Linked DNA regions of Ovis aries. The protein of the gene in region 6 interacts with the protein of the main gene of each other region in a pairwise test. Links are inferred from orthologs where the notes say so. Each region holds a gene or a part of one and is shown on either strand. Other genes may lie near its edges.

Region 1 (3,992 bases), on a different chromosome or scaffold from region 6:
TTTCTAGCATATGAGAATTTTAAAGGTTTTCTCTAGATGACAAAGTGTGATTTCTTTATTCCTAGAAACCAGAGGAATATCCAGAAGATTATGACTTTAATAAGAAAAATAAATGTAAAAATAAATTACTTATACAGCTATTTTGTTCTATAAAATATAACTGTATTTAGAAATTTACACAATTAAAGCCCTTAAATAAACTTAAAAAATTTGATACAAACTGATTAGATGAAATTAACTCACCAAAAATGGCAGGGTTAATGCCAGGATAGTCACAACTAGGAAAAAACTCTTCATCATTGCACCTAAAATTAAATTAAAAACATTAGATTAACAGGATCTGTTGCTGATAATTTAGGAGTGACTTGGAGCAATGTTTTCTATGGTTTAAGGGTGGGAAAAGCCAGATTTAGGGGAAGATTTAGCCAATGTGAAAAATCTATTTTATCAAAAGCTTTAGAAAAACCAAACGGTAGGAAATATATGAATTTAATTTTTGGTTATGTTACTGAATGTCTCATTACAAGGTTAATCCTGTATTCCTTTCATTGTGCCAAGAACATAGTAGGAACAAAGCTCTGTGTGTCAGTGATGAGATTATTAAGGTGAATTGGTCAAGTAACATGAATTTTAGGAAGAGTTGCAACGTACACAAATCACTGTTAGATAAGAGAGAGTAGAAAGTGTCACACAAGTGCTGTTCTACAGATAGAAGTGTTCAGTTAAGAAATCAATAAATTATTTCTGTAGGACATAGCATATAGGTGGGACTTGCCCATGCAGAGATTAATAGAGAGGAACTTCAAGGAAAAGAGAACTCCTTAGGAATATCCATGGGCATTTGAATGGAGAGAAGGGAAAGACAAAGTTGGAAAGAAAGTTTAGGGCAGAGAAAGATGAGGCATTAAATGCCAGGCCAAAGAATTAGATAGCTTTCCTAATTGAAGTTGAGTGGCTTCAGATAAGAAACTGAGGTGACTACATTGCTTTGGAGAACTGATCTCTATCTTGGGCTCTATTCTCTACTTTGAATAAGTATTTCCCTTTATCTGGCCCTAGTATTCTTCTTGCCTATAAATAGAAGTTTGAACTGAAATTTCTGAAATTCTCTGATTCTGTGATTGATCTCATAGGAATACTTAAAGAGATTGGGGGGAGTATCCTGAAACTTCATTTTTCATAATCTGCTTCTCCAGTAATCATAAGTTATATAATTAGCTTGATCAATTTAATGAAAAAAATATAAGATATGACAATTACAGTTTTCTGGATGAAATATTTGAAGAAATAAATTAACCTTATCTTTCTAAAGACTCGAGTATAGGGTAGTAATACCTATTTATTTGATTTTAAAAGCTAAATTGTCTTTTTAGAAAGATACACATAACATTTTAGATTTTTAAAATATTAATAAATTTTGCATTTATAAATTAAATACTACATCTTGTTACAGCCATTGTATCATCATACTTGTATAGACTTGAAACCTGCAAACTGAGTTTTACAGACTAGGGTCACAGAGTTAGAAGTTCAGGCTTGATAAAGAGCGCACACCAGACTCAACTCACTTTTGATTTCCAGGTAAGAATGATTAGAAAGGCTGTATACTAAACTGACTTCAGAAACTCTGATGGAATATCATTGAATGGAAAAGAAGTTAGTGTGAGTTCAAATTTGAGCAACCTACAGCGTTGATTGTTTCCTCAAATTTCATTAAATAGAATGGAGCTCCTTATGAATTCTTCACTTGCCAGTGAAATTTTTCTTAGTTGAAATAGATTTAATATATAACATTGTGTTAATTTAATGTGTCTAACATATTTATTTAATGTATTTGTGTTTTGTAATTTGATTGCAATTGTATTGATAATTAACAACTCTGTCATGTCACATAATTATCATTTCTTTTTTGTGGTGGAATAATTAATATCTAGTCTTTTAGCAAGCTTGATGATTATAACACATTACAGTGAACATAGAAAAAATACTGTACAATAATCATTGGCTAACTTTTAAGATTGTAGTCTGAACAACATTTCTATGGTGAATCATGGAATCTTTTATAATTCATGCAAAATTATATCACAAACACTCATACAAAAACATCTTGTAAAATGGTAGTAGTTATTCCCTTTTAAGCATAAACAGAAACCAGAGAAATAAGACCATTCTTTACTTATCAGTTACTTAAAACAGTAAGTACTTGAATTTGCCTTCATAACTTGGCAGTCCAGAAAAATTTGTGAAACAGAACTATTCAGCTTTCATGAGGGATGTATAAGTCCTGTTATTTTTTAAATTTGTATACTATAACAAATGAAATTATAACCTTTAGACAGAAATAAAAATTTGAAATTAATTAAGGGATCAATCTGGATTATCCTGTACTTTCATCTTCCTAAAAAGTTAGCCCTCCACATTTGTCTGTGGGAATAGATTCACTGTCTTGAACATACTTTTTTTTTTTTTAAAGAATCTACATTTTCTTCAATACTTTAGCAAGTATCAAATCTTGACTTTAACCCACAGTGAAGTTAAAAATAAATTTGATCATAACATTATACAGAATCTAATGTTTAGATAGAAACTAATATCATAATGATGACAAAGGATATTCAAGCTTAACAATAAAAGCCAAAAGGAAGAAAATGTTCTTCTAAAATAACTTTGGTGGTGTAATAAGCACAAACTGCCGTGAAGAAGAATTATTCTCTTAGAATGTTTTAATGTGATTACCTTTCCTTGTGACTGTCAGCTCTTGCTTGGCAGTAGGTTCAGTTGGCCTTTCAACTGTAAGGAACACCCAAGGTAAATAACCAGGGACTAATTAAAGGGTGTTAGTGTCTTGCGTCATGAGATTTATCTTCCTTTTACGTTGCACCAACAGGAAGATGACAGAAAGGAAAGATCTGATGATAGCAGGGCCATCTTTACCTCAGTCTCAGTTAATGGAATGCAAAGAAGGAAATAGAGTTTTCATTCATAAGATTTGAAAACAGATTATTCACCCTTTTTTAAGACTGAATTTTTATGTTTATGAAAAGATATAGAGGATTTTTAAGAATATTCATTGTATTTTAATCAACTAATTTCACCTATTTGAATTTAAAGATATTATTGCCATAGCACTTTTACATTTCAAATGTTTCTTATTATTTCAAGAACCTGGGTATGAAGTAATTCTACATATATTATGGGCTGTGGTTGGTCGTCCTCTTTCTAGAATTACAGCCATCAGTATTTAACAATTAGAAAACTGACCATCTTTTATATGCCCAAGAATAAATTAATGTTAAATCCAAATATGAAACATTAATCAATATAAAGTAGGGATCCATTTTCATTTTATTCTTCAGTAAATTCATCATTTAAACACCTATTTGTTGATTGATTAATTTCTTATAAATCAAAGTTGCACTTAGATTTTTAAAAAAAATTTTGAAGGAGTCTCCATAATGTTCTCCATAGTGGCTCTACCAGTTTACTTTGCCACCAACAGTGTAGGAGGATTCCCCTTTCTTCACATCTTCTTTAGCATTTATTATTTGCACTTAGATTTATAAATTTCAATAATATAGGTGAACCATTCTGGCTGTACAAAATTAAATAACTAAATTCAGAATAATTGTTCTGTTTCAAAGACGGCTTATCCTGACTTACAAAGTATATATCTTAAAGCCACCAATATGGGGGGTATTTTGGTAAAATACCACTAACCAAATAATTTTCCTAGATAATTAAGGAAAGAATATCTGCTTTCGCTTACATTTCTCCACAAAAAAATGTTAACTGTGATTTCATTTTATCTATGAAGTCCTGATCAGATTGTGGTATTTACAGGAATCGATGTAGGACTGCCAGGATACAAACAAGAATTAATAACAGCATTGTGTTGTATTCCTCTTTTTCTTAGAAGTATTTCATGTCTTGGAAGGTTCAGAGTGATGGTCATGATCCTAAAATGTTTATTCAGCTTGTACAGAGTAAATTGA
Region 2 (4,197 bases), on a different chromosome or scaffold from region 6:
ACGCCCACTTAGACACACTGACTCTGGGGATGACAGCCAATAATCCTCTTGGAGCCACAGGACCATGATCTTCTCTTGAGTTATCCCCTTCCCCAGCTTCCCAGAATGAGGCTCACAGGCAGGTCATATAAAGTCCCGAGGATGTGCCCACAAGGCTGGACAGGACGATTCACGTTGTCCAAACACAAAATGCATTACTGGGTGATCTCCTGTGGCTCACCTGGGGCGCTTCATTTTTCATGGCAGGCTCTGATGTGCATTTTCTGTATGGTTTATTCATTTTGTAAAGTAAGACACATCTTTGGGGCTTCTGTACATGTCGGTTGTACTTCACAGCCCAGCCTTTCCTGTCAATCACTCCACCCACATAGATGCTTCCTTCCTGATCGAACTTTGTGCGTCCAGTGTCTTGATAACTTTGAGTGATTGTGAATGAGCATTGTCATCATGGCACTTTATGACTGGGAGTGGCAAGATGGATTTGGGTAAAATGCAAACAAAACCTGACATTTAGTAACTTCTCTGAGATTGCAAAAGTGACAAGCAGTTGGATTTGTTTTTCTTTTTCTCATCCTCTGTGCATTTCCCATGCCCTGGTTTGGCCTCAGAACAGCAGAAATGAAAGACCAAGAATATAATCAAAGGACTTCCCAGGTGGTCCAGTGGTTCAGAATCTGCTTGCCAATTCAGGGAATACGGGTTGGATCCCTGGTCCTGGAAGATCCCACATGGCAGTAGTAACTAGGCTGTGTACCACAACTACTGACGCAGGCTCTAAGCCTGTGCTTCCAAACAAGAGCAGCCACTGCAATGAAAAGCCTGCACACCACAAGAAAGACCCAGTGTAGTAAAAAATAAACAAATAAATAAACAGTCAAGAAGGCTTTCCATGTTCTACCACCTTCTGGACCAGAAGCAGGGAGGACCTGGGTAGCTTTAAGAATTTTAAAAGTTCCTGATTGGACTGGATAGGCTCAGGGTTCCACTGAGTCTCAGTACGACAATCACCACCCACAGAAACTTATCCTCAGGGAATCCTCGGCAGCGGCTCTTTGAAACAGAGCTAAAAGAAGAGAAGCCCCAGCTGCTGGCGCGCACAAACCCAACCTCCAAGGAAACACGAAGGAACAGATGAGATCTTTCTTACCCCATCCATGTGGATTCTGACGTTAGGCACCAGCCGGAAAGGACTGCACTGCGGACCTCTGGGGTGAGTCCTGCTCCTCCTGCCGTCCTGCGGGGTCAGCACGCCAGGCCGGCGGAAGGACCCCCCTCTCCCCGAGCCCTGTCCGGCCCGCACGCCGTCCAGGAGGCGCACGAGCAGCAGGTTGGCTGGCAGCGCCTCGATGCTGCAGAACACCAGGGTCCTGCACTCGGGGCACCTCAGCTCCTTGTGGGCCTTGAAAATCCTCTGGAGACATGGCTTGCAGAAGGTGTGCTGGCAAGGGAGAACTTTGGCGGTGACATCGAGCTTTTCAAGGCACACGGGACACTCCAGAAGATCAAGTAACGTCACGTCATCCATTTTATTTTAAAACTCCAGTCCTGACCTGGAGGGGCAGAGTCCACATGGTCTGGTCAGCTGAGCCAGTGGGGGTAGAGACGGGGCTTCTTGAGAGCGTCAGGATGCCCGCTTGTCTGAAGGAGAAAGGAAGACGGAAAAAATTGTGATTGCCTTCAGAGGTATATCCCACCTACAGGAGGCAGAGCCTCATAAGGCGGTTCGCAGGGACTTTGTTTCCGCACCCAAGTTTCAGATGACTCATTCTGATTCAGTGCTAGCAGGTAGAGACCTCGACTCCTGCCTGCTGGAGGATGCGAGGGAGCAGCTAATACAGCTTCTGACTGCTTGCCGGACTAACTTACTCATTGCCTCTCCGTGAGCAAGGCGAGAGAAGGGAGACAGAACTGACCCGGGGCTCCAAGGAGGAAGCTTTCCAGCAGTCCGTCTGGATCTCAAATGAAAGGCCCCTCAGGATGTAATTTCCCTGAAGCTATTTTCTCTCTTTCTCTTCTTTAAGTGTATCTGTTCTCTGCATCACACTGATAACAAGCTGTTTACATAAGTGTATGGGAATCTCCCGTAGTTGTAGAATTCTATCCTTCACAGTACATCTTCCCCCTTTATTTTGTTCTAGCAATGTACAATTTCTACGAGAACCTAATTTTCAAAAATTGTTTTGCCTCAACTCCAGGCTGTGGAGCTTGAAAGTTTTTTCTTTCTTTTCGTTCCTCTTTTTTTCGCCTTCTTACCTTGATTATCTTAGCCTCAGAGACACCATCCCTCCCATAGATAAAGTTGCACAGCCTGTTTTGTTACTTTGACAACTGTTCTGTTTCAACTGAAGCAGATAGGAATTTGGGATTGTGGTCACAGCCTGCAAGAACCAAGATGGGGCAGCCAATACAGGGGTGTGTGTGTGTGTGTGTGTGTACGTGTGTGTGTGTGCGCGCGCGTGTGTGTGTGTGTATTCTGAACAGTCTCCTTGTGGGTGTCTGAGAAGTCCCCCTCTTAAGGAAAGTGGCTTGGGAACAGGTCCCGGTCCCTCTCAGCTCCAGGGCTTAGGGGAACGCTAGCCGGAGGGTTGGCACGAGCCAGTGGCCCCACTGGTGTAGACAGGCAGACAGGACAAGCCAGGCTGGGAGAAGGCGCCCGCCCTCCGGAGACAGCTCCAAAGATGTCAGCACGCGGAGGTGTGCGGGGTGGGGGCCACTAACCTTGAGCTGGCCACCCGGGTCTGAGTTCAGCTCAGCACTGTCCTCGATGCTCCGCCAGGCTCCCTCCACCGGCTTCCGTTTCCCCTGGAGCTGCTGCTGCCGCCGCTTTGAAAACTTTAGCTCGAGTCTTAACTCATTTCAGGGATCGCCTTACCCAGCCCGGTTAACGCTTTCACCGCCGTTCTGCCCTTTGCGCTCTCACGCTCTGCTACCAATCATCCTTCCTTTGTGGGAGTCGATTTCAGGGAAAAGATTACAAGCGGGTAAAATACAAGTCAATTGCCTCTAAGGTTAAGTACCGACCAAGTTTATACTTCCCCTTCCTCATTTTCTGTCCTTTCCCGGAAATTGAAACACACTCAAGTTATGAACATGCCAAGGTGATTGTGTTTATTTCAAACCTTTATGAGGATTTCCTGAAAAGTTCAAACGTATTAAGGTAGCTGTGAACACAAAGATAAACGGGTCACCTAAAAAGTACTGCTCTATAAAATCAGCCAGTCCTTGAACTATGAGATTTGAGACGGACTTGAGCGATCTGTTTGCTCAATCTGATGAAATTAAAAAAACGAAACAAAACAACAGTGTTGTCGTAGTCCAGACACATCCTTGAAAAATCAAAGGACAGGAGGGCTTAAAAAAAAAAAGGAAAGTAGAAATAACCTGGTGGTCTAGTGGTCGGAATTCTGAACTTTCTCTGCCAAGGGCTGGGTTTGGCTCCTGGTTGGGAAGCTAAAATCCCACAAGTCACCAAGCTATGTAGCATGGTGCAAATAATAATAATAAATTTAAAAAGGTAAAAAGAAAAAGTAATATTCCAGCTTCTCTTATCCTACCCACTGGAGCCTTTTTTAGCCCCAAATAATGCTTATACTTCTATTTCTTGATTTATCAATAGTATATTTCATTTAACACTTTAACACTACACTACAAAGTTATCCAATAAAGTAAATAATAATAATCATCATTAATACCTAACAACAGAGTAGTGGAGCCCTTATCTGTGCCAAGTACTGTTGTAAATATTTTATCTTCATGAACTCATATAATCCTTCTATCAGCCCAATGATACACTGGCCTCTTACCCTCATTTTATGAAGAAGGGAACAGAGACCTGAGACATTAAATAAGTCATCCCAAGAGACACGGTGATCTGTGACCTTCACTACCATGTCCTGTGGTGACACAGCTTTAAGAGGAGGAGAGATGGTTGAGGTGAGCTGGACCTCATCTAAGACAGCAGAAAGTCAAGAGATAATGACGAAAGTGACCGATCAAATTCTTTGGCAGATGAGGCAGCTGGGAGATTCTTGAAGTTGGGAGATTCCTTGAAGTTGCCCAGTAAGCTAGGGGCAGTGCTGGGACTAGAGAGTGTGTCTTCTCTCTCAGACGTAAGGCTGACAATTCCTTATCAGGCAGAAAGCAAACAGATGGTGGTGATTTGTTTGTTTTAGAAAGTTCTTTCGTGTCAGTTCTGAA
Region 3 (4,272 bases), on a different chromosome or scaffold from region 6:
TTCGTGGGAGGAAGCAGCCAGGAAGATGCAGGCACCTCTGGTGTATGACTTGTTAACCCCCTTTTCCCTGTAGGCGGGCATTGATGGGGAGAAGGAGCATGCCAATGCCAAGAAGATCCTGCTGGAGATGGGAGAGTTCTTTCAGATTCAGGTAGGATGGCATGGGGCACTGGCAGAAAACAGGCTCCAGCTTTGCTCCTTCCCTGCCTTACAGTCTCTTCATTCCTTCTTTTCTGCACCCCCTCTGCCCAGGATGATTACCTTGATCTCTTTGGGGACCCCAGCGTGACGGGTAAGGTCGGCACAGACATCCAGGACAACAAGTGCAGCTGGCTGGTGGTTCAGTGTCTGCAGCGGGCCTCTCCAGAACAGCGCCAAATCCTGCAGGTGCCCTAGCGTGTGCTGTGGACCCCCAAGCTGTGGACTAGGGGAAAGAGCAGTGGTTTTTCAATGGGCGTGATTTGACACACACACGCACACACACACGCCCGCCCGCCCTGGCATTTGACAGTGTCAGGAGACATTTATTTTTGTCACTATAACTTGGTGTGTGTGTGTGTGTTTGCCACTAGGATCCCTAGTGGGTAGAAGCCAGAGATGCTGCCAAATACCACACATACAGTAGCTTCCCACAAAGAACTATCTGCCAGAAATTTCAAATGGGCCGAGGGTTGAGAAACCCTGGGGTAGTGGAAGCTGAGGCCTGAACCCCACTGACTGAGTGAGGATTTGGGATGGGGACTGGGGGTGGGGGGTGCTGGAGTTCGAGATCATAGCTACTCAGAGACCCTTGAAACGGGAGGCAGGAATGGAATGAATAAATGGCATTGGAGAAGTTCTGGATGGGGGAGTGGAGGGGACCTAGAGGTGTTGGGGGGAAGGATAATAAGCCCGTTTTCCTACCCCCGGCCCTTTAGGAGAACTATGGGCAGAAGGAGGCTGAGAAGGTGGCCCGAGTGAAGGCGCTCTACGAGGAGATGAATCTGTCGGCTGTGTACATGCAATACGAGGAAGACAGTTACAGCCACATTATGGGTCTCATCGAGCAGTATGCTGCGCCCCTGCCCCCAGCCATCTTCCTGGGGTTAGCACAAAAGATCTACAAGCGGAAAAAGTGACCTAGAGTCTGTGAAGGTGGGGAAGGGAGGCTTCTCAATAAATTATTGTCTAACCTGTGGTTCTTCCGTTTCTGCTTATGCCAGCCAGGGGCGCAGCTTTGTCCAGAATGGGCAGGGTGGGGGTCAGTTGCATGGAAGCCGGAACCTCAGGCTTTGATTTCAGGATCCCCTTGGGACTAAAAGGTCCCTTCAGTGGGACCTTAGAAAGCATCAAAAGCCCTTGAGCTGGGCCTGGGTGGGTGACACAGGCGAAAGCGTCAAGCGCTGGGGGCTGGGTCTGAGCCTCGCCACGCCCATGCGTGGAGGGGCGCGGCTGCGCAGCGCTGGCAGGTCGTCCCAGCCCCCCTCCCCTCCAGTCTGCGGGCTGGGCGGGGACCGCAGCCGCGGAGCCGGATGCGGCTCCAGACGCCGGAGCGGCTGCAGGAGGACCCCGGTGAGGATGGCTTGGCCTGCGGGTGTGGATGGATGGATCGGGGCTCGCGGGTTGGGGCAGGTGAGGGGAGCAGTAAAAAATAGAGAAGGGCTGGGGTGGAGCTGCACCATAGAGACAAGTGCAGAGAGAATGGGACAGACATGCTGGTGTTCGCAGCAGGGTGAAGGTGCACCGCGGCTGTAGGCTGGAGCCTGGAGCCTGGAGCCGAGGCCCGTGCCGGCCGGCCTGCCCCGCTGGAGTTGACAGGCTGATGGTTGCTCCTGCAGCTTGGGCCTTTCCCCCACGCCTGCCCCTTTCCTGCATCAACCAGCCGAACGCACCTCCCCCAACCCCATTTCAGATCATCTGGGCGGGGCCTCTCGACCCCTTCCCCTGGGAGTGGGGCTGGGCCAGATTGCAGCAGAGAGGACCAGGGTCCCTTCTGGGTCCCATCCTTTTACAAGCCTCCGCACCTCCAAGGAGATCGAGGACGCAGCCGCATTCTCTGACCCTCCCCGCCCCATTCTCCGGGGTGGGGGTTACATTCGACTCCACCTGCAAACACTGCAGCGGAAACTAATAGCCAGTCGATGTCTGTTTGCATCTCATTTAAATATTGTCCAAGGCGCCCTTCCATGCCTGCCCCAGCACCTAAGTCACCTTGGTGTTCTTCCCGCGGCCCGCACCCTCCCTGGCTGGGTTTCACTATCCCTCTCTTCTAGGGCTGCATCTGCGGTTGCCAGGCAAGTGGATGTGAGAGGGCTGATCCTCCTCATTCTCTAGAGGCCATCCTGTCGCCGCCGGCACCATGCTGTCCCCTCAGAGGGCTTTACTCTGCAACCTCAACCACATCCACCTCCAGCATGTCTCTCTAGGCCTGCATCTGTCCCGCCGTCCGGAGCTCCGGGAGGGGCCCTTGAGCACATCCCCTCCCCCAGGGGACACCGGGGGCAAGGAGAGCCGGGGCCCCTGCAGTGGGACCTTGGTGGACGCCAATTCCAACAGCCCAGCAGTGCCCTGCCGATGTTGCCAGGAGCATGGGCCAGGCCTAGAAAACCGGCAGGACCTAGCACAGGAGGAGGAGGGGGCTGCCTCTCCCTCAGACCCGGGCTGTTCCTCCTCTCTCAGCTCCTGCTCAGATCTTAGCCCCGATGAGTCCCCCATCTCAGTCTACTCCAGGGACCTCCCTGGCAACGAGGATGTTCACCCTCAGCCCAGCATCGTTCCCCTGGAGCAAGGCTCCCCTTTGGCTTCTGCGGGCCCAGGCACCTGCTCCCCAGACAGCTTTTGTTGCTCTCCGGATTCCTGCTCTGAAGCTTCCTCTCCATCCGGTCCAGGCCTGGACTCCAATTGTAATGCCCTGACCACTGGCCAGGACCTCCCTTCCCCAGGGCTAGAGGAAGAGGAGGAGGCCGAGGAGCAGGACCTCCCTACCTCTGACCTCCCAGAGGCTGATGATGAGAAAATCGATGCTGGGAAAACCGAACCCAGTTGGAAAATCAACCCCATTTGGAAAATCGACAAAGAGACAACTGATGCTAGCTGGAAAATCACTGAGAACAATAACTCGGGTTGGAAAGTCAATGGGAATACTATTGAATGTTGGAAAACTGAACCTGGAAAATTCGACTCCAGTTGGAAAACCAATACAGAAATAACTGATTCTGGTTCGAAAACTGATGCAGGGAAAATTGATGGGGGATGGAGAAGTGACGTCAGCGAGGAGCCGGTGCCCCACCGGACAATCACGTCCTTCCATGAGCTGGCCCAGAAGCGCAAGCGGGGCCCAGGGCTGCCCCTCGTGCCGCAGGCCAAGAAAGACCGCAGTGACTGGCTCATCGTCTTCTCTCCCGACACCGAGCTGCCCCCCACAGGCTCGCTCGGCAGCTCCCAGGCACCTCCCCGGGAAGTTACCACCTTCAAGGAACTCCGGTCCCGAAGCCGGGCTCCGCCCCCGCCAGTCCCGCCCCGAGACCCCCCAGCTGGCTGGGCCTTGGTTCCACCTCGGCCCCCACCGCCACCCGTCCCTCCTCGGAGGAAGAAGAACCGACCTGGGCTGCAGCCCATAGCAGAGGGGCAGCCCGAGGAGGGCAGGGCGGGCAGCCCTGCTGCTGGTGAGGAGGCCCCAGCTTCAAAGGAGCCGGAGCAGCCAGGTCCTCAGGCTGGCACTGAAGGTAAGTGGCCATAGGAGGTGGCGAGAGGAGGGCTGGCCTTTGGCCTCCCTACACCTCCAAAGCTTCCGACCCGACCCCCTGTCTGCCCTCCATTCTGTGTGTCCTATCCCACCCATCCTTCCCGTCCCCTGCTACCGGGAGCGCTCCGGGAAAGGGAAACTGGGTGGGTCCTTGGGTTACGGGGGGACTAACTCTTTGCTCCCTCTTTCTCCCGCCCCTCCTTGCCTGGCTGCCCATCCCGCTGGCCTCCTTCCCCTCCGCATCTGCCCCGCCAATCCCGCCTGCAGCCGGTCCCCTCCTGCTCCCTCGGCCCCTGGTTTTTCGGTTCTCGGCTGACGGGCGCCCCCTGTTGCAGGGTGGGAGCGCGGCCGCAGCTGGGTCTCTGCTCCTGGCGCCTCTGGCTAGCTGGCCAGGCGCTGGGCTGCGGCTCCTGGGGGCACCGAGTACCCCGGAGGAGCAGCTGCTGCCCGTTCGCCTGTCCCCGGTGGGGGCCTATTCGCCTCCGGCTAGGGGGGACCTTCCCTGCCTGGCCAGCCCTGAGCTGGCACTGCTGCTGTCCCCGCTCTTT
Region 4 (4,014 bases), on a different chromosome or scaffold from region 6:
GCCGTGGAGAGTCAGTGGCGGTTACTCTTGTCTTTGAGGTTGGCAGGAGTGTCAACTGGCACGGTCTTTTTGGAGGGAAAATTGGGGGTATTTATCACAAGGTGAAGTGCATGTAGTTTGTAGCAGACAACTTTGAGAACGATCCGTCTGCTTGTCTGTCCAGAAGAGTCTTTAACGTGCAGAGTCTGATGCGGCCAATAAAGCTGGAGGCCCGGACTCTGTGGGTCTCCTTTCCGAAGGGGCTGTAGCCGCATGTTGTTGGAGGCGGGGTTGGTGGGGGGGCTGCAGCTGACTGGGGTGGGTGTGCAGGGGAAGCTGGGGTGAGACAGTGGTTTTTCAAGGGAAGCAGGTTCTTATGCAAGATCTCCATGTTTTAAAAAAGCGGACACTAACTAAAACATTAAAATGCCTGAGAGAGGGACCAGGGTGTGTGTGTGTGTGTGTGTGTGTGTGTGTGTGTGTGTGTGTGTGTAGGCCCCCAGGGGTGGGGGCCTCCTTCCATGGCCCGCAAGTGCCCTGCCCCGTGGGGCTGCCCGACGGGCTTTGGAGAGGCTTGGAGGCCCGTGTCCCTGAGCCTGGGTTCTCTGAGGGAGCTGGCCCTCCCTTCCAGTTTGGATGGGCTCTAGAGACTCTGGGCCGTGCTAACCCTCCCTTCACACCTGTCTTCCCCTTTCTGCTCACCGCAGACCCTTGGGCTTTTATGTGGGCGCTGGCTGCCCGCTGGGGACATCCTGGGGCCCCCGGAGTGGGCAGAATGGTGTGTGCCAGGTCTTAGCCCGCTCTGCGGAGGGGCCCCTCCTCCAGCTGTGGGGGCCTGGCTCTGGTGAGCCGCCATGGCCGTGGCGGGTAGAAGGCAGCCCAGACACGGGGCAGGACGGGTAGCCCAGTGAGGGCCAAAGGGCCAGGCACCCTGGGTGCCGGGGGCGGGGATGAAGGACCACAGAGCACTCACTCGCCTCCTCATGGGAGGCGTCTCTGGGCCTCCACACCGAGCCCCCCAGGAAGGTCAGCTGTAGCCCTGCATGGCCTTGTTGGAGGATGAGCGCCCAGGGGGAGGCCAGTCAGTCAGCAGAGGGGGGCCCCGGGCATCCTTGTCCTGACGCGGGCCCTTTCGCCTCCCGCCCCATCTCTGCTGTGCCAAAGCCACACAGCTGGTGGGACGGTCCTGGGCCCTGACGCAGCCCTGGGCCGCGGCCAGCACCCGGCTCCTGGCCACACAGCAGGCTCTGTCTCCCCGGGAGCGGGTTGGAGAGGCAGGCGCTCCTGCGGCCACCCCACGACTGCTCTGCTGTCCCGGTGAGCCCCTCTCTGTGCACCTCTACCCGGCCCCTGGGGCTCGGGACCTGCTCCTCTTTGGGGTGGGGGCAATGGGCTTGTGGATGAGGTTCCTCTCTCACGGGAAGACTTCCTGAGGGCCCCGGGGTAGGTTTAGAGGATGGGATGGGTGTCGACTGCATGTCGGGGCCCAGGGAGCATTGCTGCTCACGTGGCCTGGAGGCGACGCTCCAGCAGGCAGGAGTGTCTATAGTTGAGGCCTCGCCCTGGACAGGGCACGGGACACCTGGGTTAGGCCGGAGACCCATCCTGAGGGGACAGCCAGGTCTGCATGTCTAGAGTGCAAAGGGCCTGTGACCTCCTGTGAATGTGTCATTGCCGGCAGGCCCACAGGACCAGTGTGCTAGCCTGGAGGGTGTGGGCAGGGGTCCGGGCTGGCTCGAGCTCCAGGGCGGGGCCCAGGCAGGACTGGCTGCGGGACTGCAGTGCGGGCCCTGCCTGGACGCAGGGACCCCCAGGGGCTCCCAGACTGTCTTGGAGGTCGCTTCTCCTCCCCAGGCCTTGCCTCCCCCTCTGTGATGCGTCGCCCCTGGGGAGGTCCATGCTGGGGTGGGTGGATGGGTGCTGTCTCCCCTGAACCCTGGGGCACAGCCATCCTGGTGCAGCCAAGCGCCTGGAGCCCGCTACACTGGCCCAACGGAGCAGGCCGTGAGCTGGAGGGCCTGCTCTCCTGCCTAGATTGAGTGGCCCCCCGAGACTCTGGGGCTCTGCAGGGACCCAGGGCCTGGCCCGGGCGCGGGGGCCCTGGGTGCCCTGCAGCACCACCGGCTCTGTGCAGGGGGCGCACTGGCCAGCGGGCCTTTGGACCGTCCATTCCCGCTGCCTGGGCCCGCAGTGGGGGCGGGGCCCGCGCCTCGTGCTTCTGCTGGCATCGGCTCCGCGGGGTCCCCAGGGGAGAGAATGTCCCCTTGTGTCCATGCAGCCTGCCGGGCACGCGGCACCGGCACCTGCTTCCTGCTGGGGCACAATCGCCCTTTGGATGCCGAGCGGGGTGGCCCGGGGCTTCCAGGACGCAGGAAGCCGCTCCTCTGGCACCGCCCCCAGGCGGGGGGTGGGCGGGCCTGGAGTGAGGCGGGGTCTGCAGGGCTCAGTGGGGCGCGGGGCGGGGTCTGCAGGGCTCAGTGGGGGCGGGGCGGGGCCGGCCGTGAACCTCCCAGGGGCAGGCGGTCCTGGGCAGAGGTGAACCGGAGCGGAAGTGTGTGTCTGCCTGGGGGATCTCAGGCATGGAAGTGTGTGCCTTCGTCCTGGTTGCCCCACTCTCCATCCCGACTGTGTCCTTGGATGCGCCGGCCTCGCTGTGCCGGGACTACCTCGCCTCAGCACCCGGCCTGGTCACCGCTGTGTGTCTGGCTCTCAGGCCTCCACTGTTCAGGCACTCCTCGCTCCCGTCGCAGCCTCGGGACCCCTCTGTGCTGCGGGGAGGGGAGCGGACTCAGTCCTGTCCCTGGATACAGCCGGGGCCCCCCAGCTCTGTGCAGGAGGCCAGATCCTGTGTAGCCCAGGGCAGCCCACCCGAGGCCCCACCCGAGGCCCCGCCCTCGCGAGCCTCCCTCAGATGCATCCTCCTGGGAGGGGGGCAGCCCCCGCAAAGGCTGCCCAGGCCACGCTGGGAAGACATTTGAGCTGCAGTCGTCGGGGAGGGGTTGTCCTGGACTGGGGAGGGGGGGCGTGAGGGGCCTGGGACAGGGTGGTCTCTGGGGTGGGCACGGGAAGGTGAGTGGGACCCCGGCACCCGCAGAAAACCCTCACCCATCTGGAGGGACCAGCAGGTAGCCTGGAGGAATGCCTGCCGCTGACCCGCTGACGCAGGGTCCTCGCCCCGCCCGCAGAGCATGGGGACCCCGCGTGTCCCCGCGCGGACCGTCCTCTTCCAGCGCGAGCGCACCGGCCTGACCTACCGCGTGCCCGCGCTGCTGCTCGTGACCCCCGGGCCCTCCCTGCTGGCCTTCGCAGAGCAGAGGCTCAGCCCCGACGACGCCCACGCCCACCGTCTGGTGCAGAGGACCGGCGCGCTGGCCGGGGGCTCCGTGCAGGTGAGCGCGCTGGGGGGCGGGTTCGGGGACCGAGCGGACGGATGTGAGACGCGGGGCTGAGGCTCGGCCCCTCCCCGCAGTGGGGCGCCCCGCGCGTGCTGGGGACGGCGGCCCTGGACGAGCACCGCTCCATGAACCCCTGCCCCGTGCACGATGAGCGCACGGCCACGGTCTTCCTCTTCTTCATCGCCGTGCGTGGCCGCACCCCCGAGGCCGCGCAGATCGCCGCGGGCAGGAACGCCGCGCGCCTCTGCTGCGTGACCAGCCGGGACGCGGGGCGCAGCTGGGGCGGCGCGCGGGACCTCACGGCGGAGGCGGTGGGCAGCGCTGAGCAGGGTAGGTGGGCGCGGCCGGGCCTGCCAAGGGGCGAGGGGCGGGGCGTCTGAGCCGGGATGGGGCGGAGTGTGCATCCGGGGCAGGTGGCGGGTATCGGGCTGGAGGATCCGCCTCGCCCCGCTCCCAGCCCCAGCGCCGCCGTCCGGCCCTGCCTTCCCGAGCCTCTGCCAGCGCACCGAGCCTGCTGGCCCCAAGCCCCGGACGGTCACTCTTTCACCCCTTCCTCCTCGGCGCCCCCCCGCCCCCACCCCGCCCGCCTAGGGTTGCAGCGGGTGGGTTGGCTTGACCCCAGAGCTTTCATGTCTTCTTG
Region 5 (3,500 bases), on a different chromosome or scaffold from region 6:
TGGCTAAAAAATAAAATAAAATAAAATAAACACCTAGTAGATAGCAGTAGATGGGAAAGAAACGATGGGTAACCTTGAAACTTGAACAGAAATTTCCTGTTGATAACTGTGGTAACAATGGAGTTACAAAACCAAGAACAGAACACTCGGCCTTCAAGCATTTTTAAGGCCCACTTCAAGCTTGGAATTGAGTGTGAAAAACCATTACACCTCCAATCAAGAAAATACTCATTTCTGTTTCTCACCCTTTCAAACTATTGTTCTGGTGTTATAAACTGTTCTACTGTGAGACTGTAATACAATACCTCAGTACAGCCACATTTTTAAACACTGTGTATATATATATAAGCAAAGTATAAAACATGTAAATGAAAATAAGGTAGTGATTATTTACACAACAGCAATAGGATAGAGCTGAAGAATCACAGGGGGGAAAAGACCTCAGTTTTCTAGTTAACAGATGAATATGTCCTTTGAAAACATCAAGACCTAAAGTAACTTTCCTTTGTAGTATTAAATTGTTACTTTTTTTTTTTTTTCAGAAAAGAGTTTTAAGAGTGAAACAATATTTAAAGCCCAGCTTCTAGTAATTTTGCACAGATTATCAAGGATCCTTGTTTTTATTACATACTAAAATACTACATTTTTTATACCTTCTTCTTCACACTACTTGCCAAGTTTCAAAAATGAAATTTTTAGAATCATTCTTTTGTTTTATCCTGAAAACAGGAAACTTGTCTAGCTCAAGAGAAGTTCAGAATATGTACTAAGTAAACAAGACAGAATGTAGCTTTGTAATAGCATTTTTCATAAGGCACAGATTCAAATGTCAAAAGGAAACATATCTTTCTACATCGTATCCAAAAATTTACTGTGACTAGTTTTATTTAATGGGAAAAGACACAAACTTACGTACACATTGTATACATTTATACATTTGTATATGTGTACATTTGGTGACTATTTCAGTCATAGTTTTATATCTCATGTCAACTCCACTCTCAGTATCAGTGATGTCTGAACATTTTTAAAAAAGGATTTGCTTAGCCCTGGATTCAGCACAGAAAACGGCAATGTGATCTGCCTATCAGGCCTCTAAAAGCGCCTTTCCATGTACCATCATCTCCACCCTCACGACCAGTCACCCTCTCCCAGGTAGACATGAGCATCCCCATCTTACAGGTGAGGAAACAGAGGATCCGAAAAGCAAAGTAACACAGCCAAACCTATTAAATAGTAAAAATGCTTCCAAGCAACACCCTGACCTGCTCTGTCACTACCGTCTCATCAAGCTTAACACTAGAAGGGACCTTTTAGAATCGACATGATTCACGGTCTTCACTTTGCAAATGAGAAGACTCCAGGCGGACATACGGAGGACCGGCCCAAGGATACACACACACTGCCTGGAAAGCAAAGCCAAGGCTGGAGCTAGGGCTGCAGACCCTCCCCAGAGCCGTGACCACAGCTCCGGGAGCTGCCCTCCCCACTCCTCAGAGCCAGGCAGCCTCTCCACCAGTGGACGGCAGAGGTGCTGAAGGACCCTGCTCTCACCCATTCCTGCCCCTCTCCGCTCCTGACTCCCTTGGGGGCCTCGGGTGTGGAGCTGACGAGGCTACAAAGGGCATCAGAGCAGCTGCCATGCGGTATCCGCAGGCATTACAGGGGGCTCTTGCGGGTCCGGCTGCTGCCACGGTGGGGGTGCAAGCAGGTGCCTGCGAGGGGTCGGTGGGTGGGATCACCGAAGAAAAGCAGGAGGCTATGTATCACTGCTCTCTCTCCTCTCGGTGTAACATATATTTTCATGCACTGCACATTCCCCATGAAACTCTTTCCAACAGGTTACACTAAAATAACAGTGCAAAATATTAAAATAATATTGCAAAATAATAGTGTACAATAATTTGCGTCAGTGCCTCCTAGGCAAATTATAAGGAAGTTTGGTCAACTGTGAGCCTTCTTTCCTCCGAATCCCTTTTTACACAATTTCAAGGTCACTGACTGTCCCATTCTCAGTAGCCCGCACTCACACTGCAGCTACTACCAGCCGCTTACCCAAAGGCACTTTGGAAAGTTTCCAATTCACTGTTTGTCTTGGCAAGTGACCAGAGTTAAAAGCAAAACAAATCCTTCTGGTGAACATTTTTAAAAAGTAAGGTACTATTAGCTGCCATGCATTTCTACCATAAAATTAAATTAAATCTTCCTTTTAGTAACGGCCCACCTGAAAGTGTACTTAATTCATTTGAAACAACTCTTCCTAATTAAAGGTATTTCACAATTCATTTGTAAGACTATGCATTCAATCTACTAAAGTGACAAAGTATCCAAGCGAATAACAATAATGAGCATTAAAAGAGCTCGTCTTTATTAAAATTAGGTAGCATTACTTTCCAACAGAGCTGAAAAGCAGCAGTAGCTCTGAGAGTCGTTAAGAAGTAAATATAGTAGTAACTACAGACACCTTTTGCTCAAATAAAAAGGAAAAGAGTGGAAAACATAAACTAGATGTAACGTTAAATGTTGAGGGGGCTAGTTTCAAATGATTTAAAAACTACGATCTTGAAGAAATACACAGACAAAATACACAAGTGGGTGATCGGTAACATCGCTCTATCCCCAGCTAGGCCCTGAAAGTTAACGAAGCACTGGGTAACAATAACAACGAACTAGGGAAAATATAAATTTATTTTCTTATTTTAATAAAATATTTCATTTCCCTAGAAAATGAAATTTTCTAGAAATTTGTAGAAATTCAAGTACTATTAATCTATATCCTACAATAGAGAATAGTCATTCCTTCACCCAAAACACTCAAAATTGAAACAAAGTTAAAACAAGCAACTACAACAAACGATGAACTTTGTAAAAACTGAACCGTACCTTGTATTTCGAAGACAACATCAGCAAGCATTGGTTTATTAAGGAAAAACTTGAGGGAAGTGTTATAAAACCACAGAGGTTTTCTGGCTTGATAGGTTTTGCAGTTCCTTAGGCAATTAAACTATGAGGAGAAATGAAAATACAAGAGGATTATACAGAGTGAAGTAAACCAGAAAGAAAAACACCAATACAGTATACTAACACATATCTATGGAATTTAGAAAGATGGCAATGACGACCCTGTACGAAAGACAGCAAAAAAGACACAGAGGTGTATAACGGACTTTTGGACTCAGAGGGAGAGGGAGAGGGTGGGATGATTTGGGAGAATGGCATTGTAACATGTATACTATCATGTAAGAATCGAATCGCCAGTCTATGTCCGACGCAGGATACAGCATGCTTGGGGCTGGTGCACAGGGATGACCCAGAGAGATGTTATGGGGAGGGAGGTGGGAGGGGGGTTCGTGTTCGGGAACGCATGGACACCCATGGTGGATTCATGTCAATGTATAGCAAAACCAATACAGTACTGTAAAGTAAAATAAAGTAAAAATAAAAGTTAAGAAAAAATAAAATAAAATAACTTCCAAAAAAAGAAAAGAAAATACGAGAGG
Region 6 (4,003 bases):
GGGACGGGGGAGCCTATGGGGGTCGCACAGAGTCGGACACGACTGAAGTGACTTAGCAGCAGCGGCAGTCACTCAGTTTGAAAGCTTAAATGATACAATATTGGAAAAGTTCTCGGTGGCGCAGGAAAAGTGGAAATGAACCATGTCAGCTTCCAAGTATAGCCAACAACTGGGTCCGAATGGGTGCCAGGTGCTATAGTTTTATCTATCAATTTACAATCTCCTCTAATAACAAGCTTCTGGGAGAGGAATAGAACTACTTCTATTTCAGAGGAGGAAGCAGAAACCAGGCAGTTCTTCCTTCGGCGGGTGGGGAGCCAACAGGCATGGTACGCTCACCTCCCAGTATGCTGAGTCTCCCTTCTTTCAGTGGCTTTGACCCTCAGATTATGTCTTGGCCTCCAGCTCGGCTGGCAGTGAGAAATGGTCCCTCAACCAACAAATATTTATTGAGTGCCTACGATATACCAGGTAGCGTTTTCAAACTGCCATGGGATTCAAAAGACAAACAGGGCCCGGTCTTGTCTTCCAAGAAGGATCTCCCGAAAGGGTGAGAGAGGCAGGTAAACAATTCCAGGACAGTCTGATAAGGGCCGTAGAGGAGTCCGAGCAAGGGCGGCCGGAGAAGTTTCGGAGGACCCGGCGCGGAGATGGGGTCTGAAGATGCGCCCTGAAAACGCCGGCCCGGCCCCGGCTGCCCCCGGACGTCACCCCAGTTCCCGCATCCTGTCATTACCAGCTGCCCACTAGGTACTGAAGAGGAGGGGGAGGGATTGGGGAGCGAATCCCTCGTGAAGAGCGAGCAAGCACACAAAAGTAACACATCACACTTCCCGGGCGCCCGAGCCCCGCTCCGAGCTGCGCGCACGGCCCGGCGGCCTCCAGGTGCCAGGCGGACCCAGCCTTCGGCCCTCCCCCTCGGCCCTCGCCCTCCGACCTACCGCGGAGCCGGGGGCCGGGGTCCGCCGCTTCCGCCCGCCGCCCGCCGCCCCTCCCCAGCGCGCGCCATCCGGCCGCGGGGCCGCAGCCCTCGGCGCGGCCCCTCCTCCCGCGGGGGGCTCTGCCGTCCCTCGTCCCGTCCCTCCGGGCTCCAGCCGGCAGCCCACGTCCAGGGAGGGCGGGGAGAGGAGGAGGGGAGGGAGGAGGGAGCGGGGGGAGGGAGGCAGGCGAGAGAAGGGGAGCTGCTCGGAGCCCGGACCTCCCAGAGCCAGCCAGGAGCGCGCACTCGGCGGCTCTCCGGGTCCCCGCCGCCCCGCACCTCCCTCCCGCTCCTCTCGGGGTACGCCTCGCCCCTCCTTCCAGCAGCTGCTACGCCCGCGCCGGCGGCCGCCCCCCAGCCCCTCTCGGCCACATCCCCAACTCTGCGGACTCACTCCCGGGACGCGCGTCCTCGCCCCGTCCTTTCTTCCTTCCTGCCTTCCCTCGCGCCCGCCCGCCCGCCCCAGGTCTCCCTCGCGGGTCGCGATTGTCTCCGTCCCCTCCGCGCTGCGCCGGCGCCTCGCCCTGCGCCGTCTTCCCCTCGCACTTCCTGAGTCGCCGGCCGCCGCTGCCCCGACTCCAGCCCGCGGCGTCCGGGGAAGGGAGAAGTGGGCGAGCGCGCCCTCGCCCAGCCCCGCGCCCCAGCCCTGCCCGGCGAGGGAGGACCGGGAAGATGAACAACGGCGGCAAAGCCGAGAAGGAGAACACCCCGAGCGAGGCCAACCTTCAGGAGGAAGAGGTACGGAGCGGCTCGGTGCCGGGGCGGGGACGACCTGGGACGGCGGCCGCGGGCTCTGCCCAGAGTGCGGGTGGCTGGCCGGCCGGCCGGCGGGGCGCGGGTCCGGGGGCGCCGGGCTGCGCTGGGGAAGGGGCACCGAGGGTTTGGGAATCGTCCTGGCGTGGAGACGCAGCCCCAGACTGCGGCCACGGGATGAGGGTGTATCATCGGAGAGTGTGTTTTGGTGGGTCCACGCGCGTCTGCGTGCCTGAAAATTGCGTAACTTTGAGGACTTTCCCGAGACCTCTGTAAGTATAATGGTCAGCTTTGTTTGCCCCGGATTTTAAAAGCGGAATCGAGAGCTGACTCCTGGGTGACCTCAGATGATTGGGACCCGGAGGGTCAGCACTTAGTGCTGGGTCCGGGGCTGGAAGTTGTGGGGTGTGTGTTTGTGTGGTTTAGGGAAGAAACTCGGGGAAAGTTCTCATGAAAAGACACCTTCCGTTCCCTGCCCCCCCCCAACCCCCACAGTTTCTATGCGAAAAGTTCTCGGTGAAATATCTTTCCCAGCTAAGGCGTTTTGGATTAATAGATAACTCATCAGCCGCATTCTTCTCTGATGAGTCAAAGACCCCGAACCTGGCTGATTAGGTTTTGTAAATTTAGGGGCGTTGCGGTTGTGGGGCGCAGCATGCTGGAGTTTCAGACTTTGCAACTCGCGAAGTGTTGATCCAGACTGTTTTAATAGGACTTTGACGTCTGAGCGTAAATTTTATGTGGTGCGTCCCTAACAACGGTAAAAATGTTGCGGCTGCAGAGCGTTCCTTTGGTAGAAACAAAACTCAGTACATGTCGGGGAACTCCTGAACAATCCTTTCAGAATTTTGTAGTTGGGATATTTGCGTTATCTTGTTAAATGGGGCTCTGTACTTGTAGGTGCATTATCTAGAACCCAGTAAACACTGTTTTCCGCCTACCTTTTGAAAAGCCCAGGAAATTGACTTCTGAAACATTCCAAAAGGAACTTAAGAGTATGTGTAGATGCAAGAAAGTATGCAGTCTAGATAAAAGCATTCTTACAGAAAGGTGAACTGATTTCTAAGCGGTTAGGGTGTTGAGATGATTATGGAAATACTATGTTGTGTGTAAACTAAAATTCTGATTGTGAAGCCCAAGGTTGCTGAGGACTTAATACACTTAAGCCCTCAGCACTTGTAAAATGGGAACTATTTAAATGGAGAAGACAGGAGAGCTCCAAGACCAAGCCAAATATTATGCAAAATAACACAAGATTTTACTCTTAACACAGTTGTTCGTGGGTGCAACCCAGGTGAAATGCTGTTGAGCCTGACGTTGCCGTCTCACCTGAGCAAATCGCCTTTATTATTATAAACTGTTCTGAAAAGCATTATTTTTACATGCTGGTTTTTTAAATTGCAAGTGATGGAATAGTACTGACATTTCTTCTCTTTCAGAAAGATGGAGACTTGAATTGCAAGTTCTGCTTTTTTTCTTGAACCTCACTGGCTACTTTCCTATTTTATTTTCCCTACCACTGAAATAAAATTTAAAAATAAAAGGTAGTTTTTTTTTTTAAATGCTGGAGTATTTTATTTTTTATAATTAATAAAAAAGGTAGCTTTATTTAAGGAGTTGCAATGGCTTCAGAAACCTTTCTGTTTCATTAGATTGGCGATCTGTTGACTTCTAAGGGTAAGACTGTATCATACATATGAAACCATCTTTCTCTCTTCACCAGAAAGAGAAACTTGTAAAAGTTCATTAGGGTAAACCAAAGACTATTTTCTTTTTTTTTTTTTTTTTTGGCACACCATAAACTATTTGACAGAATTAAGCATAGAAAACTCAGGTTTTTCTGTTTGACCCAGCTCAGCTTAACTGCCTGCAGCACTGGCCTGTTTGCCCAAACCCTGGGTGTCTTTATATGTGCGAGGTTGGGTGCCAGTAAAATCACAGGTGATCCCAATACAATGGCTGTCTCTTAACCTGTCCTATTGCCTTGTTAAGTCTTCCTTTATCAGGTGGAAATGGCCCGTGGTTCTAGAAAGTATCTGTCTTTATAGCTAGATACTTGTTATTTTAAAAATAAGGGGACAGATTAAAAAAATAGAACCCAAGCTGTACAAAAGATGGACTAGACAAAACAGATACACCGTGAAGGGAGAGGTTTTATGATGTTAAAAATTTGGTAAAAGTTGGCCTGAATGATCTCGATAATTTTGCCCTAATTCCCTGTTTGGGGTTTATGTTTTGTTTGTGAAAAACTCCTCCTTTTTTCCCCAACCC
Region 7 (4,147 bases), on a different chromosome or scaffold from region 6:
GAGATGGACGGCTTGCGGTGCCGACCTGACTCACACAGGTTGCTAGTTTACCTGTGGGAACAAAAGGCAAAGGAGGGCAGGGCTGGGATTCCCAGAGCCGGGTCACTGGAACACTCAGGCTGGGGCCATAGTGGCGCTGAGGCAAAAGCACCCTCACTCTACTCACCTGTGTGCCTGTGATCAGACTCTTCCGGCTCCCCAGGGCTGAGCTGTGTGGGGCCCTGGGGGAGGGAACCTGGAGGGAACAGAGTGAAGCAGGCGCCCTGCTCAAGCTGGACTCCTGGAGCCCTGGCCTCAGTCCCAGCCTCGAGACCACGTTACAGGGTGCATGCCAGGCAGTGAGGGGCTTACCTGGGGTGGGGCTGGAGGAGGCCAGCTGGTTCTGGCTCCAAAGGCCTTTATGGAGGTTTAGGGGCAGTGGGATCCTGGGGGTGGGATGGGGAAGAGTTACAGCCTTGGTTACACCTGGGATCCTGCAGATCCCTTTCTGGGGAGGGAGGAGTCATAAGTCCTCTGTGGGGCCTGGGCTTTGGCTTGCCCTGTGGTGACAACTTCTTGTCCTACCACAACTCAGGAAATGTATAGTAGAGATAAGAGATGTGGTACCCTTCCACCCATCACTGCTGCCTCTCCTGAACCACTCCCTCCCAGCCAGAGGTCTTCCATAAGCCCTTCGACTCACCTCTGGTCCCGAGGCCAGACCTCTTGCCAGGCTCCAGTCATAGGGATGCTATGGGAGAAGGGAGTGCCATATCTAGGTGGCAACAGAAGGATGCTCCACAGGGCAGGCTGGCCCTCCCCCAACCAAGGGGCCTCAGCCCACCAAGGGCTGGGGGTGGTGCCAGTTTGGAAGGAACCTGCTGGGGGAAGGGGGCCAGGGAACTCCCGCAGACTTTCCTCAGAGCCCTTTGCACTGTCCCTCAACCACATGATTACTTCTTGCTTCCCACTGACTCTGCCATGGCCAACAAGGGCTTGGTGGAGTTGCTCCTTTGGTTTCATCTGCTCCCCTCGACCCTCCAGAGTTGCCTCTGCCATGTCAGGGCTCTCTCTTGGCGGCCGCGGCCTGTGCAACGTCTCCTGCTCTTTCCCACCAGTTCTAACAAACTTCTCTGGTCTCTGCTTCTCCCCAAAGGCCCCCACGCCTCTCATCGAGTCCCTTGTGTGTTTCTCTAGCTCCTCCTGTTGGTTCTTCAGCCCTGGACCCAGCTCTTCTCTAGCCATGTCCCTTCGAGCCCTAATGCATGCCTCCTCCAGGGACTGCACCCCCAGTGTTCTGGCTGCCTCCTCAAGGGGCCCCAGTTCCCCAGGATGCAGCTCTAGACTCTCCCCGTAAACAAAGTGCAGAAGTTGGGCAAAGGTGGAAGGGCTGATGCCTTTCACCACAGCCCAGTGGCCCCTGCGACCCAGTTGCTGGCTCACACCTGCCAGGACCAGGCTGTGGGCAGGGAACTCCTGGCTCCCCACTGTGATCAGGGTATCACATAGTGCTGGCCGGAGCCTGGCTGCTAACCGTACCAGCCGATCAGAAGCATAGGGACTAGGCAGTCTTGTTGGGGACAGGGGCATTGTGCCTTGCCTTGGTACCAATCTCAGAGGTTCTGAGAGAAAGGCCACAGTGTAGGGTCCGTGGTGAAAAGGGGAGGGAGGAACCGCATACTCAAGCCTGTGGAGGTGAGGGAAGAAAGTGAGTTGCTGGATTTGAATCAGTTCTCTGTCCTGAATGGAGCAGAAAAAATGACCCAAGAGAAAACCCGAGGCTGTTCAGAATCATAGCAGGTGTGGAGGTGGTGAGAGAATGGAAATTAGACCAAATTCAGGACTTAAAAGAACAAGGATTGCACATTGAAGAGCTATCTCAAGTAGTGGATAGATGGGTCCTGCCAGTTGGCAATGTCTGACTTAAGGGAGAGCAGAGTTGGCAATGTCTGACTTAAAGGAGAGCAGACACTGATATTTCTGCTTCTCCAAGCTCCTCTGCAGGGAAAGACCCCCGAACAGGCCCCAGCTCTCATTCCAGACAGGATCACCACAAAACCCAGTCAGCCCTGTAAGTTAGGGGTGGAGCTAGACACAGTTTCATGGGAGTTTAGAAAGCCAGTGTGTCCTCCTCCTGCAAGCCTGTCATGTGGGGCTGAGGGTCCTGAGAGGAAAAAAGGGCAGCAAGATGGGGTCATAGCTGCAGAAAGCAGGCTCAAGGCATCAACTGATCATCTCCCTCAGGATGAAACTTCTAGAAACCATCCTCAGAGAAAGAACTGGAAGTGACCAAAAGCTCCCATGCAGTGAGATAAAGAGAGCAGGTTGGAACCCACAGGAGAGAAGGCTCCTCACCCAGGGATGGAGAGATGTCGGAAAAGGCTTTGACCTTGGAGGAAGCAGGCGAAAGGGAAATGGAAACTGTGGAGGGAGAGGCTGTTTCCTCTCAAGATAAGGATAAGGAGACAGTTCAATTTTGTTTTTCATAAGCCAAAAGTGAAGATTAGAAAGACAGAACCCAACAAGGCAGAAGTTTGTCACACATCAAAACCACCACCTTGGCTTTTAAGAAGAGAACTGGGAACCCAGATACAAAGAGACAGACCTAAGTGTCCCAGAGCCCAGCAGGCATATTCCTAAGTGTAGGCTCACCCTGAGTACAGATCCCGTAGAGGGAGGAATTACTACTTGGACACCTCACAGGGAGGGGTACAGGCTGGCAGGAAGTGGACAGAAAGAGGAATGTAATGGGAGGAAAGTCTCAGTTGGGGAGAAGCAACCACTCACCGGTTGTAGCTTCCTCCTGGACACCGCATGCTCTGAACTGCTGCTGGGGCTCCTGGCCCCCCTACTCTGGAGCTAGCCCCGCCCCTGACTTCACAGTCTTCCATTGGGTGTCCCAAGTATCAGTCTGCCACAGTCCCCCAAGGGGTGTGGTCTTACACCCCTGGCTGAGCTTCACCCCTCCAGGAGAGACCACTCCTCTCCTTCCAGAACTCAAGCATTCTGCCTCCTGACCTCTGGTCTTATTTCATCTGTGAATTTCTGGAGTCAAAGAATTATATCTGAAGCAATAAGAACTTTGGGATAATCAGACCTGCATTTGACTCTCATCTCTGCCATCTGCTAGTTGAGTCACCTTGGGCAAGTCACCTCTTTGAGCCTCAGTTACTTCATCTGTGAAATAGGGATAAGCTCTGCCTACCTCATTATGAGGTGGGGTGAAGATGAAATGACATGATGTATGTGAAAGTGGTTTCTCAGTACGTAGCATCATTCAAATAGTATTAGTTCTGTTTCTTAGAGGTGTCAGTAGAGCTCTAGCAGCTGGAAGCTCTTTATACTACCTCAAAAGTAAAAAGGACTGAAACATCTGGATTCTAAGAAGAGAGCGAAAGAGGGCCAAAAGCATGCCTCCTCCTCCCTCTCTCTGACTTGGTACTGGGAACCTTCCACTCCTCTGTGGGAATGACCCAGGCCATCTGGGCCATCGCTGGGGACAGGGTATGTGAGTGACTCAGATCCTCCCATCACGCTTTGAAGGGGGCAACCCCAGGAAGGGCCTGCGGTGGTCTCCAAAGAGAAAAACTTTTCTTGGGCTGGTGACAAATGACATTTCTCTGAAATCAGGACTTGCGGGGTTTCTTTGACTTCCTGCCCAGGGGATGAAGGTCCTCGGAGATTTGCCCTCTTTTCACAGTTTAGCACTCCTTAACCTGGGGAAAAGATGAGGTCTGAGAGACTCACATTTCTTTTTGTTTATTATTTCTTGCAGATTTTTCATGCATAGAACAGGTATTGCTAGATAGCTTACGATATGTGCTTGACATATGCCTAATAAATAACTAGAAGAGTAACAAGTCAGGCACTGGTAGGCTGTTCTGATGACAAGACCCAGTCTGCTTTCCCCAAGGCTTCTCTACTAGATGCTAGAGTCTGATTCCCTCCTAGACTCAAATATTATGTCTCTCAAACTCCTGTTTCGCCTTTTGGCTTCAGGACCCCCAAATGTTCAGACCACCCTTCTACTCTCTGTTGAGACCTAACATACCTTCATTCTACCTCTCATTCTAGCTTGGGTCCAAGCAGATGTTATCCCTTCCTAGATCAGACAGGGTGTGCCAATGGGTGGGGCCAGTGGAGGAGCAATAATAGTGTGGGGAGAGGG

The links.
Region 1: the proteins of RBPMS (region 6) and CSN3 interact in binary tests that used the Homo sapiens proteins (3 or more experiments, as listed by UniProt). The two-hybrid records come from large-scale screens. The link is inferred for Ovis aries from reciprocal best matches to the Homo sapiens genes RBPMS and CSN3.
Region 2: the proteins of RBPMS (region 6) and SH3RF2 interact in a two-hybrid assay, tested with the Homo sapiens proteins (2 studies listed by BioGRID and IntAct). The two-hybrid records come from large-scale screens. The link is inferred for Ovis aries from reciprocal best matches to the Homo sapiens genes RBPMS and SH3RF2.
Region 3: the proteins of RBPMS (region 6) and RUSC1 interact in binary tests that used the Homo sapiens proteins (3 or more experiments, as listed by UniProt). The two-hybrid records come from large-scale screens. The link is inferred for Ovis aries from reciprocal best matches to the Homo sapiens genes RBPMS and RUSC1.
Region 4: the proteins of RBPMS (region 6) and NEU4 interact in a two-hybrid assay, tested with the Homo sapiens proteins (2 studies listed by BioGRID and IntAct). The two-hybrid records come from large-scale screens. The link is inferred for Ovis aries from reciprocal best matches to the Homo sapiens genes RBPMS and NEU4.
Region 5: the proteins of RBPMS (region 6) and RHOBTB3 interact in binary tests that used the Homo sapiens proteins (3 or more experiments, as listed by UniProt). The two-hybrid records come from large-scale screens. The link is inferred for Ovis aries from reciprocal best matches to the Homo sapiens genes RBPMS and RHOBTB3.
Region 7: the proteins of RBPMS (region 6) and ZBTB32 interact in a two-hybrid assay, tested with the Homo sapiens proteins (3 studies listed by BioGRID). The two-hybrid records come from large-scale screens. The link is inferred for Ovis aries from reciprocal best matches to the Homo sapiens genes RBPMS and ZBTB32.

The regions. Positions count from the first base shown.
Region 1 is NC_056059.1:86,392,717-86,396,708, reverse strand, and holds the start of CSN3 (kappa-casein precursor), read right to left. Parts: upstream 2,801-3,992; 5' UTR 2,737-2,800; intron 306-2,736; 5' UTR 301-305; coding exon 244-300; intron 1-243. UniProt on the Homo sapiens protein: Kappa-casein stabilizes micelle formation, preventing casein precipitation in milk.
Region 2 is NC_056058.1:54,888,132-54,892,328, reverse strand, and holds the start of SH3RF2 (E3 ubiquitin-protein ligase SH3RF2), read right to left. Parts: upstream 2,801-4,197; 5' UTR 2,719-2,800; intron 1,639-2,718; 5' UTR 1,526-1,638; coding exon 1,148-1,525; intron 1-1,147. UniProt on the Homo sapiens protein: Has E3 ubiquitin-protein ligase activity. Acts as an anti-apoptotic regulator of the JNK pathway by ubiquitinating and promoting the degradation of SH3RF1, a scaffold protein that is required for pro-apoptotic JNK activation.
Region 3 is NC_056054.1:105,492,978-105,497,249, forward strand, and holds the start of RUSC1 (AP-4 complex accessory subunit RUSC1), read left to right. Parts: upstream 1-1,472; 5' UTR 1,473-1,611; intron 1,612-2,252; 5' UTR 2,253-2,338; coding exon 2,339-3,704; intron 3,705-3,991; coding exon 3,992-4,272. Other genes in the region: FDPS (farnesyl pyrophosphate synthase), read left to right, coding at 74-151, 253-387, 918-1,118. UniProt on the Homo sapiens protein: Associates with the adapter-like complex 4 (AP-4) and may therefore play a role in vesicular trafficking of proteins at the trans-Golgi network. Signaling adapter which plays a role in neuronal differentiation.
Region 4 is NC_056054.1:177,599-181,612, reverse strand, and holds the start of NEU4 (sialidase-4), read left to right. Parts: upstream 1-1,214; 5' UTR 1,215-3,167; coding exon 3,168-3,368; intron 3,369-3,448; coding exon 3,449-3,704; intron 3,705-4,014. UniProt on the Homo sapiens protein: Exo-alpha-sialidase that catalyzes the hydrolytic cleavage of the terminal sialic acid (N-acetylneuraminic acid, Neu5Ac) of a glycan moiety in the catabolism of glycolipids, glycoproteins and oligosacharides.
Region 5 is NC_056058.1:92,713,629-92,717,128, reverse strand, and holds part of RHOBTB3 (rho-related BTB domain-containing protein 3), read right to left. Parts: intron 3,005-3,500; coding exon 2,884-3,004; intron 1-2,883. UniProt on the Homo sapiens protein: Rab9-regulated ATPase required for endosome to Golgi transport. Involved in transport vesicle docking at the Golgi complex, possibly by participating in release M6PRBP1/TIP47 from vesicles to permit their efficient docking and fusion at the Golgi.
Region 6 is NC_056079.1:25,628,233-25,632,235, forward strand, and holds the start of RBPMS (RNA-binding protein with multiple splicing), read left to right. Parts: upstream 1-1,203; 5' UTR 1,204-1,651; coding exon 1,652-1,717; intron 1,718-4,003.
Region 7 is NC_056067.1:45,734,545-45,738,691, reverse strand, and holds the start of ZBTB32 (zinc finger and BTB domain-containing protein 32), read right to left. Parts: upstream 2,801-4,147; 5' UTR 2,796-2,800; coding exon 2,767-2,795; intron 1,667-2,766; coding exon 683-1,666; intron 426-682; coding exon 1-425. UniProt on the Homo sapiens protein: DNA-binding protein that binds to the to a 5'-TGTACAGTGT-3' core sequence. May function as a transcriptional transactivator and transcriptional repressor. Probably exerts its repressor effect by preventing GATA3 from binding to DNA.